2 linked regions of the Schizosaccharomyces pombe genome follow. The protein of the gene in region 2 purifies or fractionates together with the protein of the main gene of each other region. This does not show direct contact. Each region holds a gene or a part of one and is shown on either strand. Other genes may lie near its edges.

Evidence for each region.
Region 1: the proteins of ctl1 (region 2) and atg9 purify together in Schizosaccharomyces pombe (affinity purification with western blotting; one study listed by BioGRID). This does not show direct contact.

What each region holds. Positions count from the first base shown.
Region 1 is NC_003423.3:3,018,291-3,029,768, forward strand, and holds atg9 (autophagy-associated protein Atg9), read right to left. Parts: upstream 7,369-11,478; 5' UTR 7,332-7,368; coding exon 5,223-7,331; 3' UTR 5,053-5,222; downstream 1-5,052. Other genes in the region: gpt2 (UDP-N-acetylglucosamine--dolichyl-phosphate N-acetylglucosaminephosphotransferase), read left to right, coding at 1-1,294; zng1 (nucleotide-binding domain-containing protein CobW/HypB/UreG), read left to right, coding at 2,563-3,798; NatC N-acetyltransferase complex catalytic subunit Naa30, read left to right, coding at 4,143-4,258, 4,347-4,683; SPOM_SPBC15D4.08C (uncharacterized protein), read right to left, coding at 7,369-7,785; met3 (cystathionine gamma-synthase), read right to left, coding at 8,151-9,983; nuclear rim protein Amo1, read right to left, coding at 10,415-10,587, 10,648-11,478. UniProt on the Schizosaccharomyces pombe protein: Phospholipid scramblase involved in autophagy and cytoplasm to vacuole transport (Cvt) vesicle formation.
Region 2 is NC_003421.2:388,407-399,649, forward strand, and holds ctl1 (choline transmembrane transporter family protein), read right to left. Parts: upstream 5,860-11,243; 5' UTR 5,779-5,859; coding exon 5,766-5,778; intron 5,729-5,765; coding exon 4,669-5,728; intron 4,620-4,668; coding exon 4,080-4,619; intron 4,029-4,079; coding exon 3,917-4,028; 3' UTR 3,616-3,916; downstream 1-3,615. Other genes in the region: ggc1 (guanine nucleotide transporter), read right to left, coding at 296-812, 912-1,006, 1,128-1,418; proteasome regulatory subunit Rpn8, read left to right, coding at 2,341-2,391, 2,436-3,359; ubiquitin hydrolase Ubp16, read right to left, coding at 6,477-7,850; Clr6-associated factor 2 Laf2, read left to right, coding at 10,674-11,243. UniProt on the Schizosaccharomyces pombe protein: Required for the normal organization of the preautophagosomal structure (PAS) and for the correct subcellular location of atg9.

The sequences.
Region 1 (11,478 bases), on a different chromosome or scaffold from region 2:
TTTGTTGATGAACCAAGGTCAATCTCCGCTACTTTCTAATGTTGGTCTCTCTGTCTTAGCATACAAAGCTACAGCAATGTTCATTCCTAGAGTAGGACCCTCCTTTATTAAACGAGGCTTTTCGGGGAAGGACATGAATAAAGTAGAGAAATATGTAATACCTGAAACAATGGGAGCAGTTTCTGCATTGGTATATTTTATGTGTATGATTATATTTATACCGGTACTATTTTATAAGTACTTGGTACCTAATCATAACCCGAATCTTCCATCCGATGGATCTGTCGCCGAGGTTGCCAAATCCCAGTTTCCACATGATCTTTTGGGCGCTTATTTGTCTGCCCTCCTTTCAATTCTGTCGGTTTCTTTACTTGGAATTCTTGATGATTTATTCGATATTCGATGGAGGCATAAATTCTTTTTACCAGCAATTGCCGCTATCCCATTGTTGGTTGTTTACTACGTTGACTATGGAGTTACTTATGTGTCCGTTCCTAGCATTGTAAGACCATTTTTAAAGAGATCTCTTATCAACTTGGGTTTTCTTTATTACTTTTATATGGCTGCGGTTGCGATTTTTTGTCCAAACAGTATTAACATTATTGCTGGAGTAAATGGTGTTGAGGCAGGCCAATCGCTTGTTCTTGCTCTTGTTATTGCTTGCAATGATTTGTTTTATGTACTCTCTCCCAAAAATAAGGATGCATTAAGAGCTCATCTCCTTTCCCTTTATCTAGTCTTGCCTCTTATAGGTGTCACTGCTGGGCTTCTAAAATACAATTGGTGGCCTTCGCGAGTGTTTGTAGGTGATACGTTTTGCTATTTTGCAGGAATGGTAATGGCAGTTGTTGGAATTTTAGGTCATTTCTCTAAGACACTTATGCTCTTTTTTATCCCTCAAATTTTCAATTTTGCGCTTTCCGTTCCACAGCTTTTTGGATTGGTTGAATGTCCCCGTCATCGACTTCCTAAACTAAATGTGAAAACTGGATTGTTGGAAAACTCCTACACAGAATTCTCTCTAAACGAGCATCCTTTACCTAAAAAGACTTTGCTGACTATTTCTATTTTTGAAAAATTACGATTGATTCGGGTTGAGTACGATCCTAGCACCGGGCGCCCGCTCAGGTGTACGAACTTTACAATTATTAATTTTGTTTTGTATCATCTGGGCCCAATGAGGGAAGACCATTTAACAATATGTATAATGGGATTGCAATTACTTACCGGAATATTCGGTTTAATTATCAGGCATTTTGTCGCTCCTTTAGTGTATCCTGAAGATAACATATAATTCACATTCCACATGTTTTGGACCAAAAATGAGCATCTATGGAAGTCCGGTTTTTTCTATTTTTTTTTATTTTTCTAACTGAAAATTGGAAAATAGTTAATTATTATGACTTCTTCTTTCATTTCTTTTGTACGTTGTGTACAGACTGTACTGAATTTGTTTCCGATGTTTGTCCACATATTTGAATACCAAAAATTCATTCAGATGAGATTAGTTAAACACAACTTTCTTTAAGTCTTTGGTAACCTGTCATTTTACACTAATTTTATCTATAAAATAATAAAATAAAATACAAGAGTTTACAAGAACTTGCCAAAGTCATCTGAAAATAGCATTGATTAGACATTACGAAAATACTCAGTTAAGAAACTAATACATCGTGTTAACTATTCATGGCTTGAAAGCAACGAAATCATTTCCTATTATGAAATTTTGGAGATTTATATAATTACAAATCGCTGAACGATTTCACTAATCAGCAAAATTTAACGATTTAAATATCATTTTTGTTAAATAATTATACTGTACTTCTTTATTGCATGTAAGAATGTGACTACTTTCGTGACTGCTTCGTTCCGCGTCGTTACTATAAATATGGGTGCTTACACTTACGGTTCTTTACTTACCTGGCATGAGTTTCTGCAGCACAAGAATTGTGGAGACTCAGTTATTTGTCTTGGCATTGCACTGAGCCCTGACGAATAACTGTGGACTGGCTAAGGTCAGCTCCGGATGCATCATTTTTGAGTTCGTCCCTCATTTGGGGCAATTTTACTAATTAAGGCGATATGGTTGCCTTAAATAGTAAAGTTATCCGAAATGGATTATGTAAAGTAACATTTTCTTTCATCATATATAATTGTAAATTATTGTATCATAATTAATATTTCGCAATAATATGTTTAAAGATTCTATTGCCTATATGTAGTTTTAATAAATTACTTGCTATGTTTATTATTATTTTGCTCTGATGTCTTGCTTTTGCTATAAAGTCATTTCATGTAAAATTCGTTGTATAAGTAATTTATCACACTATTCATTCGTAGCTGCTGACAATTTTCGCTATAAAACCATGTCAGTGTTATACGAAATGACTGCATATAGTGCAAACACAGTGTTGTGCTAATTTCATACTAAAAAAATTCATTATTAACACTTTTCGAAAGTATTTACCTGTGAGACCTAAATTGAGGCTTTTAGAAGTATTTCTCAAAGTATTCAACTCGAAAAGATTAATTATATGACCATTATTTAAAAAAGGTGTAAGAATGGACTTTGAAATTGAAAACGAGTCGGAAATTCCACAGCTGGTTGACGTTGAAGAGGTTAACACACAACCGCATTCGGAAACATTAAGCGTACCTACGGTTTCGTCCAATAATGATATTGATTCATTTGAGCAGCAATCAGATTTTCTTCTAGTTGATCATGACTCTACCTTGGACCCAGTCCCTGTCACAATACTGACGGGCTTTTTGGGTGCCGGTAAAACTTCTTTGCTACGGTCAATTCTTGAAAATCGAAATGGTAAAAGGGTTGCTGTATTAATGAATGAGGTGGGTGATTCGGGAGACCTTGAAAGGAGCTTAATGGAGGATGTTGGAGGAGAAGAACTTTATGAAGAGTGGGTGGCTCTTTCAAATGGGTGCATGTGTTGCACTGTGAAAGACAATGGGATTAAAGCTTTGGAAAAAATTATGAGGCAAAAGGGGAGATTTGATAACATTGTAATTGAAACAACGGGTATAGCCAATCCTGGTCCTCTTGCTCAAACATTTTGGTTGGACGACGCGTTGAAAAGCGATGTCAAGTTAGATGGCATCGTTACTGTTATTGATTGTAAAAATATAGATAATATCTTAAAGGATGAAAGTGATATTGGTTTTATTCAAATTTCACATGCTGATTGTTTGATCTTAAACAAAACAGATCTTATTTCTTCTGAAGCATTATCTGTGGTACGTCAAACTATATTGAAGATCAATTGCTTAGCGAAGATTATTGAAACAACATATGGACGGTTGGATGACATTTCTGAAATTTTGGACTTGGATGCATACGGCAACGAAAATACTTCTAATCTTGAGTGGTCGATTCAAAGGAGCAATGATAGCAATATTAATTGTTCTACTTGTTTGGACGTGGATTGCCAACATTTGCATTCTCTCGATACGCATAGCCTTGATATCTCAACTCATACTTTTAAACTGCCCCCACTAATGTCGAAAGAGGTTTTTCAGCAATTTCTACAATGGGTTCGTCATACACTTTGGTCTTGTTTGGAGGAAGGGGAAGACGAGGAGTTTATGATTTATCGAAGTAAAGGAATTTTTAATAAAGACGATGGCTCTTGGTACATCTTTCAGGGTGTTCGCGAAGTATTCGAAATTATGCCGCTGTCGGAGAAGCCTCGAGCATTTTTAGAAAAGGATATCCATCCCGAAATTATCCTAATTGGGCGTAATCTACATCGAATATCTCCTTTCGTCGTCGGAAACCAATAATGGCAGTTATTTTATATTTCATTTTAATAATGTATATTGATATATGTTTGTTGAATTAATTTTAAATGTACGCAATAAAAAGCTTTTATACTAAATTATTTTATATAACACTCAATATTATAAATGTCATATCATTGACATAGATGTAACAAATCCAAGCAAAAAAGCCAAATTATAAACTTAATTTATACTGGCCTACTCGTTTATTCATTGTTTATAATACTCAGTTTAAGAACCGCATATAACGTTTTAACGCTATATCTGTAATTTCGACATTCGTCTTAAAGCTGTTGATATATACAGCTCTGCAACCGTTACAGACCCTAAATTATATCTAGAAGAGAATGGTGACAATTGTCCCATACAGTCACCAATATTTAAAAGATATATGTCAGCTTATTCAAAAAGATTTGAGTGAGCCATATAGTAAATATGTGTATCGTTATTTTGTGCACCAATGGTATGTTCCCATTTCATTGATTTCTCAAACTGCTTCTTGCATATTATGAAACTCGGCAATATCATTATAGTTTACTGACAGATTAAAGGCCAGAATTCAGTTTTGTTGCTTTAGATAATGATCGATTTATTGGAGCTGTAATATGCAAACAAGATGTTCATAGAGGGACGACGCTTAGAGGTTATATAGCAATGCTGGCCATAGTAAAAGAATACAGGGGACAAGGAATCGCTACTAAATTGACTCAAGCTAGTCTGGATGTAATGAAAAATAGAGGTGCCCAGGAAATTGTTTTGGAAACAGAGGTGGATAATGAGGCAGCCATGTCTTTTTATGAAAGACTCGGGTTTTGTCGCTATAAACGTCTTTATCGTTATTATTTGAACGGCACTGATGCATTTCGATACATCTTGTACCCGAATTGAAAAACAATGCTACAAAATAAAATCGCGGCATTTTCTATGCTCTAAGAAAATTTGTTTCCACTTGTCGCAGTATAAGTGAAAGTTTTAAAGTTGTTCCAATCTATTTATTTTTTTTTATTTTTTTTCTTCTACTGATTAATACCATAAGTAATTGTCATTAGTCGTCACTGTAGCGTAACTCCGTAATTATAACTGTAATAAACAGTGTTTACATTGATTCAAAGAAATTGTACGGATGTTCATAAAAATAATATCATTCCATTAAATGTAAACTTCATTAATAGTAAAACATAAAGTCTACAGCTGAATAAATAAAGAAGCTTCAACGTAAACTGCTAACTCTCCAAACAAACAATCACCATTCATTAAAAGAAATTAGTAAAAATACAATCATTACATGCATTAGTGGCTCAAATTGCCTTGCTAGCAAATTGTTAACACTTCTTATAAACATTGTCCTTCATTTTGTATGACAGAAAAATAAACCATTAAGCCATTGAGACTTGCTTGGTTGTTTCAAGAACTGACTCTCAATTTCATTAACGAAGATCCCTTCTAGGTGCTTCCGTATTAAATTGTTCGTAAAAGCTGATGCGAGAAAGTTCTGGTTTATTTTGAATTAGAGGGCTTATTTTACGTGATTGTACCAAAGAAGCGACAGACTCATAAGGCGGGTTGTCCTGGAAAACAGCGTAACTACAGACGTACCCAACGCCTTCAACGTTTATAGTATGTTCTCTGAAGAAATCCACAATATCTTGACTGCAGGAAGGAAAAGTGAAAAACAACAATACGGGTGTCAGCAAAATTCCAAGAATCTCCCAAAGAAGATTAACTATGCGATATGAATATAGAGAACAGAACTCTTGTTGAACAGCTTTACTATGCATGTTATCAGACCACCATCCTGGCATGTAATGTGTAAAAGTGATTACGCGCCTTAAAGCTTTTTCCGGAGCAAAAACCAAAGTTTCATCAGGTATTATTGAGCGCGAAACTGCTATAAGAGATCCGAAAAGACCAAGATAAAAAAGTACAGATCGATCTTTAGTTATTTCAAAAGTTACCATTAATTCAGGATCAAAAACTGTGATTATTACTAAAATCGCAGTAAAACTTCCTAAAATAAATGATATGTATTTGAATAACCTAATCATGTTAAAGTCAGGGAACTGAGATACATAATGAGATGCGGCCGCATAGCTATCATTAATGCGTTCATCAAAAAAATGTTGTAACTCATTGTATTCACGAAAAGTCCATAAAGCTAATGGAGTGTATCTTCTTGTACTCAACGCGCCTGGATTTTTATGATATTCATTAAAATAGCGGAAGAAATTGTGAATTACTAAGTAAATTGCAACGATTGGCGCAAAAAGGCAATTGAGGAAACCAGCGACGATGAATCGACGACGTAATTCTTCAGAAAGCCTTTTCCGGGAGTTAGGATTTCGAAAAGCACTACGAAGCTGACCTTGCTCATCGAAAACGAAATTGAATATGCACCAATTTATGTTCCATTCCGTGGTATGTGTGAGTATTCTCCTGTGCAAGAGAGGAAGCTCAATATTAATTATTCCATTATTTATCAGTGCAATGAAGTAATTGTCTTTTCTCATTATACGATTTGCAATTGCATAAGCATCCAGGCGTTTCATGTTATGAAGAGACACTACCCTTCCATCCTCAGCAGTAAGAGCATTTACATTCTTTAATTTCAATAAACGATATAAAACCCTTTGCCAAGATACTGTTGGCATATCTGCGGTAGCAATTTTTAAGGCATGAATATAAAACTCACGCATTTGCCATAACCTTGGAATATCAGTAAGATAATATATCCAAAGTGCCAAAAGAAAACTTAAAAAAAGCCACAAAACAAGATACGTTATTGGCGACATTTGTGCAATGCATTGAGACTTTGTGACACCAGCCAGTGAACCATGGGGTGTCACAGCAGGCCAATCTATGCAACTAGTTATGAATGTGGTAAAACCAATAACAAATGAAACTGTCAAAATTTGAAATAGTCGGTGAACAATTATACAAGACAATCCTTTACCAGTGTAGTAAGTATAAACTTGCTGAAGAAAGCTATCCAAATTTTCTACGTTTGCCCATCTCCAAAGAACCCGATCCCGGGCACTTAAACGATTCCAAAGAACGCGAGCGTTGGAAAATTCGTTACGAGGAAGCTGAGTATAAATAGATCGATTAGGATGTCCAGAGCGAGTGACATCTTCATTATAAAAATGGGGATCGTTAAAATTGGGGAGTGCTGGTTTTTGCTTTGAACCATTTTGCAGGTTCCTCAGAGAAGTAGTTTCAGGAAAGGAAGGACTGGGGTGTTTCGAGGGTACTTTTGAAGAATTTCCATGAACAGATGGAGGCTCGTCTGAGTCCAGAAGCTTTCCAGAATACAGCAAATCCGTTGGATTATTCTTTCTTGGAACGCTTTTTACGAAATCGTCATGTTCAGATATTGTAAAGCCGTTGGATTCCTCAAGTGGCGAAGACTCGTCCTCATCACTGTCTAAAGACTCTTGCCATGCCTCTAAAACTTCTTGGGTATTAGGAACATTATTTTGAGCTTCTATATCAGCAAGATCGTCATATTGCTTTTTGTTTTGAGCCGGCTGATAAAACATGATCGCAATTCCACTCAAATTGGCATATGGGTTTTTCTCATGAATCTTTATTATTTTTGCTTAATTCAGAGACCTTTTTTTCTAGTTCTTGTATCCGAAGTAATGCTTTTTGATGACTATCTTTAAGTTTATCTAAGTTGGTCTGTAGCTGAGTTAACACGCTTGTGAGCAGGTGACATGAAGTTTGAATCAACTCGTTGCTTGAAACTGGATCTTCAAGCTCTGAGTCTGTAAGGCGAACAGTACTGTCATCTTCTTCTGGAATTGTTTCTTCGTCGTTAGTTAATCTTGGACGTTTCTGAGAGTGTTTGAGTTCGTCATGAACCTGATCAATCGGACTAGAGGGTGACGCCAAATATGAGTGTTCAAACATCAGCGAGGGGTACTCTGAAAGCATTTCTGGTTCATGCCTCCGATTTACAGATGGAGGAGTTGAAGGAGCCGATTCGGGCATTATGATTTTGGTTTGCACCAAAAGAATTTCTAGCGCGCGCACTTTATTACTGAGCGTTGAGAACAAAGTAGCATACCCCAAGCGAACGTATTGTACCTCGTTGCATCTGTTCCCGAAGTAAACATTTAGACAATGAACTTCCTAAAATATTTCTCACATTCGAAATAGCTAGAAAAACATATCTTTACTACATTTTCCTATCACATCAGGCATATATTTTCTATTTTGTTTAAATATATTTAAGGTAATACCAAAAAGAAAAAACAACAATTTCAAGAATAACTATGACAGTTTCATCTATAACTATAGTTATATGATTGGGTTTTTAAAAAATATCTATTATTTGAAAACAGTTTAGATACAAGTTATGAAAGAGCATTTATAAAAACATTTTTCAGGTGTTCGCTGGGTTCCATTCCAACGCTGACACGAACAAGGTTTCTATCTATGCCATTCTCACCAGCCCAATCCAACTCTTGGTAGTGAGCTAAAATTGCATAGGGAGAAGCCAACGTAAAATTTGTACCAAGTGAGGGACCTTTTGCTACTTGGATTTTGTCGTAAAATTGGCGCGCATCTTCAGGATTGTGGAAAACGACAGACAAAAGACCACCATAACCTCCATTTTCTCTCCGGCAAGCTTCAAAATGCTCTTTTGATGTATTGTATTTGGGATAGTATAGAGTTTTAATTTTAGGGTTTTGATAAAGCAAATTACAAATTGTTTCCGCGTTATGGTTTATCACTTGTGAACGTTCAGCAAAATCTCTGCTATTTCTTTCTAATGTCAAAGCATCCTCATCATATAATAAGTCTTCATAAAGAGCCTTCATAGCATCTTTTATTCGAGAGTAGTAACGACTTGACGGATTTAAAACCATACTACCTCCCATTACATTACTATCACCGCTAAAAATCTTTGTGAGGCTGCTGACAACTACATCTGCTAATGGTAAAACCTCAACGTTGACAAAATTTCCAATTGTTTCATCAACCACGACAGCAAAATCATAACTGTCTGCTAATTTCCGAATACGAACCAAATCGGGAGAGTTTAAAAGAGGATTTGATGGAAACTCACAAAACAATGCCATAACTTTCTCTCCACTTTCTAACCGTTTCTCAAACTCATCAAGTTGCTCGTCATTACCTAGTCCATAAAAGTAGCAGCCAGATCCCCATTTCTGTAAAATTTTTAAGGTATCAACATAACAAAAACCAAAACAAACACTTTTACGGCTATCATCAAGCACCAACCTTAATATGCGATGAGTATTGTAAATAGCACTCATGCCAGTAGGAAATAAAAAAACATCGTCGTGACTTAAACCTTTAACTTCACGTAAATACTGAGACCCTTCTTTGGGTAAAGCCTTTTGCAAATCAACTTCATCTTTTAAGGTACCAGCGATACGTCGTCGAAGAACAAGTTTAGCTGCTGTAGCCAAACTTAAATCTAAATTACGCCCATATCTCTCCTCCAAATATAGGGATACGTCTTCCATTTCATCATTAGCTTGGTTTCCTTCGTTAGTCATCCAAGTATTCAAAGCCTGTAGATCTGGATGGGAAGCATATCGGCTTCTGCTTTTACTTTTGAGATGAGAAATAGACCTCTGGGCAACCAAAAATTCGGAAATAGACTGAATTTTTTTGTAGGAATGCAGAAAAGCAGCTGCGCGTCTGCTTGAAATACCGTCCCCCGTATGTTGCCAGAATTGCTTGGCAATCCCAAAGTATTTGGATGGAAACAATACAGAATAAACCTGAGGTATGTGTATTTCTTCAGTATATTTGCGATTTCGGTCAATTGAATCAAGATGTTTTCGCAGTCCCTTCGTGGCATCATAAATAATGACTTCCGCAGAGTCTATAGGTCCTTTACTTTCAAGAAAAGCTGCACTTTGCTTAGCAACGGATAATGAAGGATACAAAAACATATCGTAGTCCTTTAGCTTCAAAATCTCAATCTCTGGAAATTTCTTTATGATGCTAATGCAATCCTTGACGTGTGCGCTTATAAAGAACCTCGGATATCCTGACTTCATTTTAGTAGTTACATTAGGATCTCCCTCTTCATATCCAACATTGGATTTCCATGTAGGTAAAGTAACTGAAATGGCATGTTCAGTATCAGCTGGAATTGATGAACCGACCTCTGTAGGTGGATTGACTAGGTAAGAAATATTTGCAGACATTTAAAGAATTAAATAAAATTGAGATTTATATATAAATAGCCATAAACAAAAGTTTTGGGTTCTTGCAAAAATCTGGAGTGAATTGTGTGTGGAATTGGGACAACCATCTCTTTAGACCCAATAGGCGTGCAGGACAGTTCTGTCCTCTATATCAAATCAGCTATCAGTTTGATTCATGAATTAATAACAAAAAATAGTACTGTTTTCTTTCTAGAATTTTACAATGATACATAAATCGAGTTAGGTACAACTTTATCAGATAGCCGTGTAGGAAAGCATCACACTTTGTCTAATACTCGTAATTGAAATTACATATATATATATATATATATATTTACAACCTAATATCGAATATGAAATTTGAACAAAGTTTAATACTAATCAAAAATCCCCGAAAAAACTTACGTTGAATAACTATTTTAATAAAATAATTAACAAAATTGTGGTGGAGGGGCTGTTGTTGGAACTTTTCCGGGAATGAAATCTTGAGCTTCAAATTGCTGAATCATTTCTGGGGGAAATGCGAGATTTTGATTGGAATTACTCATTTCTACTTGATCATCCAAAGTTTGGATAGAAGAAGCACCTATTGGATTAATCGGACCTGTCGATGATCGTTAGTCATATTCGTATACTAGCAAGGATACAAAGTAAAAAAACTTACCGTCAATTGTGTTAGAAGATCCAAACATAGGAGTTTGGATTATATTTTTGTTAGCAGGATTATCGTTAGAAAATCCTGAAGCGGATATTTTAGAGGTTACATTGGCAAATGGAGATTCAAAAGTAGTATTAGGCGGAACAAAAGGGCCTTGAGGTTGTTGCATAAAAGTAGCAGGGGGCTGAACAGTAAAACCATTTGGGTTCACTGGTTGTGTTAAAGATGTATGACCAAAAACTGGTTGTGAATTATTAGGAAGCGAGAATTGAGTATTCAAATTTTGAAAAGCTGATTGCTGAGGCTGATTCTGTATTCCAAAACCGCTGGCAACAGTAGGACCGAAAATCGAACTTGGATCATTCACATTTTGACTTTGTGAAAACCCAGAAGCAACTTGTGAAAACGAGGAGAATGATGAGTTAGGAATCCCTTGTCCGGAATTAACAAATGACGAATTTGGCTGAGATATTCCCCCAAATGCTGATGGCCCTGAGGTTGCCGAACCAAAACTAGACGAACCAAAAGAAGATGGGTTGTTTTGGACTGGATTACTTCCCGTAAATGAATTTGAGGATGTATTTTGAGAAAATGGAGACGCATTTAATTGCGATGTAAATGCAGAAGTCGTAGGGGCGCCAAAAATATCGTTTGCTTGCTGATTGTTATTGAAAGAATTATTGTTATTTGAAAAAGAATTGAAAGGACTATTTTGAGTTGGCTTGTTGAACTGATTAGACGTAACCGTTGAATTGCTAGTAGACTTATCAAAAATTGACTTATAATTTGTCTTTCCGACGAGTTTATTTCTCATTTCATCGAAAGCAGCAGCAGGCG
Region 2 (11,243 bases):
CAAACAAAATAAACAAAACAAACACCAATCGAAGTAATATTTGAGAAAATAAGTAGATTAAGGACAAGTATATCTAAAAAAATTAAAAGAAAAACAAAATATTTGTTAGTATTTTTACAAAGTAAAAGATCAATAACAGTCTCAAAAAAAAACTTTCTTCACTTTTGAATGACAAAAACAAAAAGAACCAAAAAGTAAAGTCTTTCAAAAGATTACAACCCCAATGAATTATTTATATAGAAAAACAGAGCACACTCAACAATATTTCAACATTGAAATGAAGAAATAAAGCATATTATTTCAAAAGCTTATCAAAGAAGGGGATAAGGGTTTGAGCCATGGTAAATGAAAAAACAAGCTTAGGACCAGTTGTCAACAATTTGGGAGTCAACCCTTTAAAGAACGAGGTAGGTCCTTCGAATTTAAGCATATTTTTCAAAATAGTAAACCCGGATTGAGGGTTATCAAAATTCTTATTTTGAATACGAGTTTTAATAACATCGAGAGGGGCAGAGACAATCAAACTAGCAGAAGCACCAGCGATTGAGGTGAAAAAATTTTGAAAAAAAGTGGCTTGAGAGTAATCCTTTAGTTTAAATATGTACTCCTTAGCAAAAGCGTTACCACCAAAGAGTGCAAAAGAACCTGGGGCATTGCGGGCGGCAGTCCATCCCCATCCACGATACAACGCAAATTTCTCATCAGCGAGAATTCTGAAAACACCGCGACCTTTAAAAGCTGCAGGATTGGTTTGGCGCTTAATTTTCAGGACGTCTAAGGGAAGGAGGAAGATCTCTCCAATTCCAACGATACTGAAAAGTTAGTAAGCTATACACATCTTGAATTCCCTTTTCAACAATCTTAAACATAAGCTTTCAGCTTAGTTAAACAAATATTCGACAGATACATACCTTCCAGCAGTAGCATGCATAATGGCTTTTCCAGATCCCTTTCCAAAAGTTTTATCAAAAGTATGTCTATAATTTTCATTCAAAAAGTCTTTTACCTGAACATGTTAGTAAAGATGAACGAGTATACTGAAGCCAACTGCGATACATTAATTCCGCCATCAAGGCTTGGAAAAAACGTACGCTTTAAACTACCAGTATAAGTACTCTACAACATACAATTGGTTGACCGCTATATTTATAAATACGTTGTACAATTTTGTAGCAAGCAGCATAGCCCAAACCAGGAAAAAGAGAGGTAGCCTTTTGGAGTAGAGGAGCAGAGGCAGCATCTCTGAAAATTACAGTGTTAAGTTGAGTTAAAGAAGTAATTTTTCCATGATTTGACATCAAACGCTTGGAAATTGTATCAACAGGATGAAAGAGTGAAAGTTCGAGAATTCCGGCAGATGCTGATCCCACAATTCGAGCGGTTTGCGACTCTTTGTTTTTCAACTGAACAGGAGCCATCTTTCTCTATCTATTTAAAAATTTAATTAATAACCAAAAAGTTTCGTTGTGTTGAAAAAGAAAAGTTAAAGGATTTTAGTGTAGTGAACTTTTATTGAAATTTTTTTCATTTTTTGATAAGAACTGATAGCCTTCGTTTTAGAGATAAGATGAAATATCGTTGTTCTCAAATAGTGATCTATGTTTTTCTGTTAATATTTTTAAACGTTTGAAATAATTCCAAAAACACAAATCCTATTAATGTAAGTTTGCAAAAAATCTCATGCATATGGCTTTGATGAAACGTGTGGACATACAAAATATCTGAATTCTAACTGTTTCAATTGCTTCAGACGAAAACTTTTAAGAACGTTCTTACTGAAAGTTTCTTTTACTTGTTTCATCGTAAATATAGTCATCGAACAGATATTTAATGAACTTTTGGAATGCGTCTCACGTGTATTTCGGTTTGATTAAGTAGTTAAAAGTGATATACTATGCTTCAAATCGAAATACCAGCATGTAATTTGATATGCAAAGTATTTCTTTAAAAAAAGAGCAGATGGTTTCAAGATATGTCTTCAATATTTAATGTCCATGTCTTTTCAGAATTTATTTGAGTAAATTACGTGCAATTACACGTTTAACATGATTTAAATGTATAGCTCTTCAATCCTTTCTACATATGAGAGGGAGTGTAATATAATTGCCATTTAGTAGCCTAATGGAATGATCATTGTTTAAAGCATTGTTATATTACAGCGCTTAATAGGTAGTTGGGCATTTGAAAGTATCGTAATATTTCTGTAATGAACTATGTCTTAACTTGCGGTAAGTAGGAAACCGCTGCAGCATGTGATGAGAGGTTACACGCTTTCAACCTTTCGTTTGCCATACACAGTTGAAGTTGTGAGAGACAAATTTTTAATATAAACCGGTTATAATGCCTCCTGCAGTGAGCTCTGAAACCTCTACAATCGTCCCACAGCAAGTTGTAAGTAGAAAATTTGAGAAACTTTTTTATTAACCATTGGTTAGATTGTGCATCCATTAGTACTTCTGTCAGCAGTAGATTCTTATAATCGATCTGCCAAGGGAACCAAAAGACGGGTCGTTGGTATTCTATTGGGTCAAAATAATGGCGACGTTGTAAACGTGGCCAATAGTTATGCTATACCATTTGAGGAAGATGAAAAGAATGCATCGGTTTGGTTTTTGGACCATAATTTTATGGAATCAATGAATGAAATGTTTAAAAAAATCAATGCAAATGAAAAATTAGTTGGCTGGTATCATACTGGACCACAACTCCGACCCTCTGATTTGGAAATCAACAACTTACTTAAAAAATACATACCCAATCCCGTTCTTGTCATTATCGATGTAAAGCCCAAATCAGTGGGTCTTCCGACTAATGCCTACTTTGCCATTGATGAAATTGAAGACGACGGCTCTAAGTCCAGCAGAACTTTTGTTCATCTACCCTCCAGTATAGAGGCAGAGGAAGCAGAGGAAATTGGTGTTGAACACTTGTTACGTGATACTCGTGATGCATCCGTTGGTACTTTAGCGACAAGAGTTACCCAGCAGGCACAATCTTTACAAGGCCTTGGGCAGCGTCTCACTGAAATCGCAGATTACTTAAGGAAAGTCGTGGATGGGCAACTACCTATAAATCATGCTATCCTTGCCGAGCTTCAGAGTGTGTTTAATCTTTTGCCTAACATTTTTAGCGGTCCTGTGGTTTCAGAACAGGCCTTGGAATCAGAGGCACAACGTGCTTTCAATGTGAATTCCAATGATCAGTTGATGTCCATTTATATTTCCAGCATCGTGAGGGCCGTGATTGCTCTTCATGATCTTTTGGATTCTTTGGCTGCTAGTAAAGCTATGGAACAGCAGGACATAAAGCCAACTGTTCAAAATGGAGAAGTTTCGGCTAATGCCGAACAAAAGGCTTAATCACTGTATTCATACTATCCATGTCTGGCTTCTATCATTTGTGGACTCCTCTTTCTGAGATTTAACGACTTTATCTAACGTAGGTTTTTTATTTCAATGTCTAAGTATCATAGAGTTTTTATTTATATCTTGTCTTTTCGCAGACAGTTTTGCAGATATTTGTAACCCTCTTAACTTGTAAAAGTTACACGTCGGGTTCGGGTTTATTTGCTTGTATGTTAAAAATGATATGTCTACGTTTGTTAAATTGTATTTACGAAGGATAAAAGTGTAATTTTAAGTTAGTACGAAGAAATTGCATACAAAATATCATATTTTAATTTACAGTGATATGATGGATAGCTTGAGAAAAAACTTTTCATGAAAAGAAATCCTAGCAAACGCCAAGGTGTCAATGTTAAAAAGTAGGCTGACATTATATTAATGAAGTAAAAGGGAATAGGGATACGCGTACAGGTGACCAGCATCTCTTTCTTTGAGCTCTTTGATGAAAGTAGGTTCTAAGGAAGTTAAAAGAAACAGAAAAACAGCAAAAGAAGTAATTCGCATTTTTGGTTTTAATATCCATTTGATTCAAAAAGCTGCCATGCCTCGAAACAGTGAGAACCATTAGGATCTCCTTGGCAGCTAGAAATATCGATAATAGAGCATATAAGTAACGCATCCACACTGTGAAAAAGTTAGTATTTTACGCGAGGATAACTAAATATAATTACTCACATCATGCTGAGGCCGCCCTCTATGGCGCCAATGATAAGCCAAGCAAGGAATCCGCCTAAAAGTCCTACAATGTAGCCATAAAAGACACCATTTTCATGAATGGAATAATTCCACGAAGTAACGCCAACTCCTATAGCGAGGAGGGAACGAGCGGCTAGCAAAGTGTATTTAGAAAAATAGTAGGAACGTCGGCGTAATCCTACTCGGTTCAATTGTTCGATTTGATACAAAGCCTTGGACGCATTCATGTACGGGACTGAGTAAATTGATGCGTATGCTAGGGTAAGAGGAGATGTGACATACGAAGCAGACGTCTTTGAAAACATATAATATACAATACGCGAAACGTGTCTTAGCCATGTGGGTAGGAAATGCAATGGTACTTTGGTGATAACAACTAAAAAGGAAGAAAAGGCACATAAACCATACTGATTGGAAACAACGTGATAGAAAAAGTGAGAAACTAAATTGGTTTTGGTAGCCGAAGACTTAGTATCACGATAAAAAAACCATTGAGAAACAATTGAAGAAATAATAGCGCTACAATTGTGTTAGTAAAAAATCCGGCCAAAGCAATATAATAACATACCATTGAAGAGCATGAAAAAATGTGCACAACCATAAGAAATGAAGTGAATAAAAGGAGGCCAAGACCCAAGAACTTCTCGGCAAAACCCATACAGAACCAACAAGGGTAGAACCGCGCAAAAATAAGCGGGCAAACAATCTTACCCATATAAAGATTAAAACATAAAACGAAAACAAGAAGCTGATGAATATTAAAGTGATTTGAGGAATATCAGCTATAACACGACAAGCAAGCCGAATAATATTAAAGGAAGTTTCAAAATGAATACGACGCCGCCAAACATAATATGAAAGCAGAATGGGTGCAACAAGCAAAATTATCCCAGTTAATAGCATCAACTTTGGTTGAATTGACGTTTCCAAGTGGATCCTAGACGCTTTTAACAAGTAGACAGCAAAAGCAAACATGGTCAATGGGACCGATGCTAGCAGGAAGTACAGAAAACGAGGAATTGCGACAAGACAGAAGAGCCATATAACTGAAAGCATCATACAAATAATCGCATCTTTATGAAATAATGGAAATGCTTTTTGTATTGCTGCGTAAGGAGAAGTGGCTGGAGGAATATTAGGATTTGTCCGCCAAACCATCAGGAAGCTATAGGTAAAGAGAGCCAACGTCAAAAATCCAAATGTTAATCCCCATTTTCGATCTGGAACCTTCTGTTCTGATGGAAGATGGGCATCATAAGGTAATTCCGTATATTCTTCATTTACGCTTTCATGAGATATAGTCTGTGGATTCGGTTGAACACCTAAATTTTCGGAGAAATTTCCATTGTAAATAGAATTCTCTTTAGAAAATAACTCGTTTTCGTTCCTTGAAATATGAGAGTTTGACTGCTCTTGTTCTCGTAATTGCCAATGGATAGACCCAGAATCTATCAAGGAGTTCAAACCATGCAAACTCGAAGACCCGGCGCTCAAATCAGTCTCATGACTATCAATTGAGCTATTTCTGTCTATGCTAACACTCTGAAGATTCGATCTTGAGGTAGGATATTTAAAATTGCGCTGGTCAACAGAAGAGAATCTTGATTGTGCAAGAAAACGCGAAGCATCTACTCGTTAGTGTAACTTTCTTCTATTACTACTTACAATCGCTAAACATAGATTTGCTTCACGTATATAAAATCACTTTACTAGTCAATTTGAAGGAGTTTTGGAAATTGGTCGTTGGGTGCAAAGGGTTACTCATTCCTCTCCATTGAAATCTATATGACGAAGATGGTAGCACTTTGTGGCACTAACAAATATATCCGTTAAGCTTAATTGGAAACCTTCTACTACTATGAATTTAATAACCGACCTCTACATTTGCAAAAATTGCAATTAAATGTTTTTGCTAATACGATTTACTGTCGTTATAATAGAATGGGTATCAAGTATGTTTACATTGAAAATAATGATCAATTTCTTCATAAAAACGATAAAGGAGAAGAAGATAACTTCAGGTACTTTAATAAAATGCAATGCCTACGGCTAAAGCCTAAGGAAGAATTACCCGGTTCCGTAGGAGATAAGCATTAAATCCGCTATAATTCAACAGAAGATATGTCAAAATAAAATTATCATTTTGACCAACGAACTGATTTAAAAGCTAAAAAGTTGCTCATTTCAGTCTTATGCAATGCAGCGGTTTAATTTACAAAATGATTTCTATAAAAAATCGCTGTTTCAAGATTAAAATGTTCTACGTGCAATAATATTATACCATCAACCTCTAAATAAGAGAGACATTAGCATATTAAAAAAAAAGATAGGCAAAAGGAAGCAAAAACTTTAACTGCTCAAGCTAACTGTATCGCATTAAAATGAAATTTTTCTCCGTTTTTTATTAGAAGTTTTGGTAACCGTGTTTTCGGTGTTTAGCTTGTGTTTAGACGATGAAGTTGATTTCCTCTTGTATTGCAAAATATAGGCCTGTTGATTCAAAACTCGATCAATACTGGAATTGGAAACGAAATCATCGTCAAATTTAAGCCAAACACCATTACTACTTTTGCAAAACGAATAATAATGGCCGCTTCGGGTACTTCCGCCTGCATGTACAAGAACCCCAATTAATTCGTACCAACAAGAACAATTGGGATCTGACATATACGGACCGAGATTGAATGATTCAGGGTATGAAATTTGCTTACTGATTTTGCTAGATTGGAAACCGTTGAATGTGAACCGCTTGAAGTGAATGGTTAAAATATTTGGTGCCCGATAAATAGTCATTTGCTTGGACGCATCCACCAGTTGCTTACAATTTTCACATCGATATTTGTTTTGTTTGGTAAGTTTTTCTGCATGCACAAAATGCTTTAAGGAATCTGCCAAGGAGGAGCCCTTCGCATCCACAGATAAGTCAAGTAAAGCTTGGTAGGTGTTGGAAGGTTTTTTACAAACTGAGCATAGAATCTGCTGGCGTAGGTAACCACCAAAAATTCTGTGTACTACCGAAGTCTCCCTGCTTGGATGATCAAGATTTTTATGGTTTTGAAGACAAGACTTTTGCCAAGCATCAACCAAATATCGCATAAATTCATGAGCATCTTCTTGGCGATATGGGCGGAAATGACTGGAAATTACTTTGAGCATACTTTGTATACCTGAAGGTTTGAAGGCCGAAGCTCGTTTGGTGCCTTTGTTGGGATAGGCACGGGCGACATGTTGCTCCATTCTACAGAGTACACATGCATTCATACGGCAGGATAAAGAATGTTGACCGGATAAAAGATATTGAACCAACGGTGGAGTTTGAGTCATCAACTGAAGTACTGAATTCATGAAACAAGTATTACCGAGATTTACGAGCCCCGGAGCATTGGGCATGATATTATCCCATTCCATCGACAATTTTTCTTCGGGAAATAGAATGCGAGCCGGAGGTATAAAAGCAGGATCCTCATCCACAAAATCATTAGCTCCATCACCCCTTGTTCCTGAAGATTTTTTGTATTCCTGGGAAGAAGAACCAGAACGTTTGTTTCTAGTTGGGGAAGTAGGCGCTGAAAATGACTTACGGCTAACAGTAGATTGCTTTGGATTGTTTAAGACAGTGTAAGTACCTTCAGGAACCGATGGTGAGGAAACAACCGCGGGACGAAAGCGAACGGGATTTTTAAGCAAATCATCTAGTGAATGCTTGACTGCAAAATCTAGTGACTGTCCTTGTAAAGTAGCAAGCGACATGTCAACAACGGAATGGAAAAACAACAAGCAATCAAAAATTTGAAATTATGAAGAAAAATGTTAGAAAAGAAGAAAAAAAAAAGCTATCTTTTAAAGCAAGAAACGTAGAAAAGAAGAGTGATGCTTTTCACAATTATCTTCAAGAGCTATTGTGAACGGAGTAAGCAGTTTGATGTAAACAATCAACAAAAACGAATGTAAACAAACTTATTCGTGAGTTGTCGAAAATAAAAACACCAAAAATAAAATAAAGCAAAAAAAAAGCGTTCAATGAGAAAATTTAAACTCACAAATTATTTTGAAATGACCAGCCACTATAGGTGTAGTAAATGAATTTAGAAAAAAATAATGCAAAGGTGGTAAAGCAGACGAAACCGTAGATAAAGTGATTAAAATTACTTTTAAATGAAAAGGATATAAAGTGATGCAAAAAATTCGGCGGGTAATTAGAAACGAGGATTTGACGTGTTTTCAAAAATTTGATAGAACGTAACAAAAAAACTATATAATAATAAACCAGGCAACTTTTGTGTGTTTCGAATATTTTTGAAAGTAATGTATAAATAAAAAATGGAAGTTATCCAGCTCTACGATTTAACACTCCATAGAACAAAAAAGAGGATAAAGAGACAACGACACGTGCTTTCGCGTTTTATATTTTTAAACGCGGAAAGCAATAAAAACAATCAACTTCTTAACAACTAAGGGAAAAGAACTCGCCAGAAAACTGGTAATACTACTGTAACGTAAACAAACGTCGTTACCCACGAAAGACAAAAAAGTCGGAAAAGGATATGGATATCTAATGTACGAAAACAACTTTATGGATCCAAAAGTAATATCTTCCTCAAGTCCTTCCCCAATTGTCTCGCCGGTACTGTGAAAAGGGAGAAATCGCTATTTTTTGAAAATTTTTCGTGTCGATAAAGTCGCGTTATTTTTCGTTATTTTTCGTTATCTTTCTCAGCGCATCAATCCAAACTGACCTTGAACTGTATTAATCTGACCTAACAATACTATGTACTGCAGTGTAATCTCGTTAAAGTAATTTAAGAAATTTCATTATGCAGACATAATGATGCGTTAGGCTGAAAACCGTCTAGTGGTATTGTTTAAAAAAGATGGCCGTGCTATTGAACTAAGAAGTTTAGTAGGACAGTAATGTTTTATTATATTATATTCTTTAGGTAAGTTAACTATAGCAATGAATCTTTATCACTAGAATCTGACTATGGGTGACTTATAGGTTATGGCGATAGGTAACGCAATTTAGTATCGTTTCCTTGGTCAAAACCTGAAATAAAGATCTGGGAACAAAGTCAAATATTGTTTAGCATGTAGTATATAAATATATTATTTAATCTTTATAATTATCATTATCTTCTTAGCTTACACTATGTTGTCACATTAATTTTTTTTATTTTTTTATTTTTTTGCGTTGACAGGTAGAATTCCCTTCAACGTGTAAATAAAACTACTATTTTCCATATGCAATTTCATTGATTTGAAAATATTTTCTAAAATCCTAACATCAATCGATTTATTGTTTATTGTTTTTTTTTTTGAAATCAATGTTATAGATTCTGAAACAGTCATTTTTTCCAAAAGGTTTTCAGACCTAATAATTAGAATATGAACACTAAATTGCTGTGAGTACTAATATAGTAAACTTTATTCCTTCAACTTTGGTATTTTATTTAATTTATCACTTTTTGGAAGCATTACTTCAACTAGAATTTTTATAATATGAACAAAGCGTTTGTCTGGATTGATTGTAAAAAATTGCAAAACGAACGAAAACACTCTACAGAATAGCACCAGTGTATTGTAATCGGGATTTAAAATTAGAAGTATTTCTGAATTATCTGGTCCATTTTAAATAAATTATCGCACGTTTTCGCTAAGAGTAAGCATAAAGGTGTAACAATATTCACATCCATTGAGTTAACAAATTCATTGTTTATTTTTTATTTTTAATGCTTGGTTAAATTACATTTTAATTTTAATTTTTTAAACGGAACTAAATATCTATTTGGAGTCTATTATACTGAAATTGAAATGGATTATTTACTCGAATACCTTGTAAACAATTGGTGTTCTTGTTATTTACACAATTCCACAAAAGTAAGGATAATTTACTGCATCTTAATTTTAGTATCCTCATTATGCTAAATCAATTAGACAATCCAAAAACCACATGCAGTGAACGAATAGTATTTTATAGCTGTATTTTTTGATCGTCAAGTATTGCAAAGCGACATCTCACTATAAAACAATTTCGATTTGAAAAAATGCTATCTGCATAAGATATTCTATAGCCAAATGAAATAATATCCGCTGGTCATAAAGGTTAAGTTTGAAGAAATGCAATTCCCAAGTACTAGGTACTTGAAGTATATGTTTACAATTCGATTAGGTACATATTTAAACTGTACCGTTTAAAATTGCATAAAAACATTGAATCAAACTTTTTTTATTTTTTTGTTTAAAATTTTTGCCTATCTATAATTAGCAAGATGTGATACAATTGTGATATTTAGTCTTGCAAAAATACTCATCATGGATCGTATTTTCAATAGAAACCTAACAAAGTGTTTTGAGAATGTTTTGTTTTATAATAATAGAAAGCATGCAAAAACACTTGTACCTTCTGCTAAACAAGTTTTCTTTGAATACGAATCGAAAACATTGCTTTCTACAACGGAGAGTAACAAAGTGACAACGAAACCCTAGTCCACCGAAAAGTTGTCTTCTGCAAAGCACAGAAATTACCCATTGAGGTTTCTTCCGCGGTCAATTGTATTGAGAAATCGAATTTCAAAGATGCAAATTTTAAAAGATCAGGAGAACTTAAATCCCGATGGAGGTAGCTTTGTTTTAATTACACCGCCATTGTCTCCTCCTAAACAGAAATCTTTATCATATACAAATATTTCGAGGAGACATGGCATGCGAGCTTGCATGAAAGGAATTGTTTACGAAGTTTACAAAAATCAACCGAAACTTTGGTTGCAGCAAGAATTAATATGGTTGCGTCGTAAACGGATTCATCCAATTCCTAAAGCTCGTCGTAATAATCATGTAGGTCGATGGGCTAACAGGCATTCCAATGTCTCTTCATCTTCTGGCTCTCGCGGACGCAGTAGTGTCTCTTCTCGAGACTCGTCACCAAGTTACAGCGGTGCTCTCCGGTCTGCTGAAAGAAGCATCTCTTCTAGTCCTTCCACTATTGAGGCCCGTAGAAGAAAATCGGCTCGTGGAAATGGGCTTAATGGTGCCATCGATGTTGCCAACCTTCCCTTTGAAGAGTTGCCGAATTTCTGTCCTGACATGTCTGTACTGGACAACCGTACGCATCCTCGTACACTAAAAGCTGAGTGGAAAGGTCCGCCT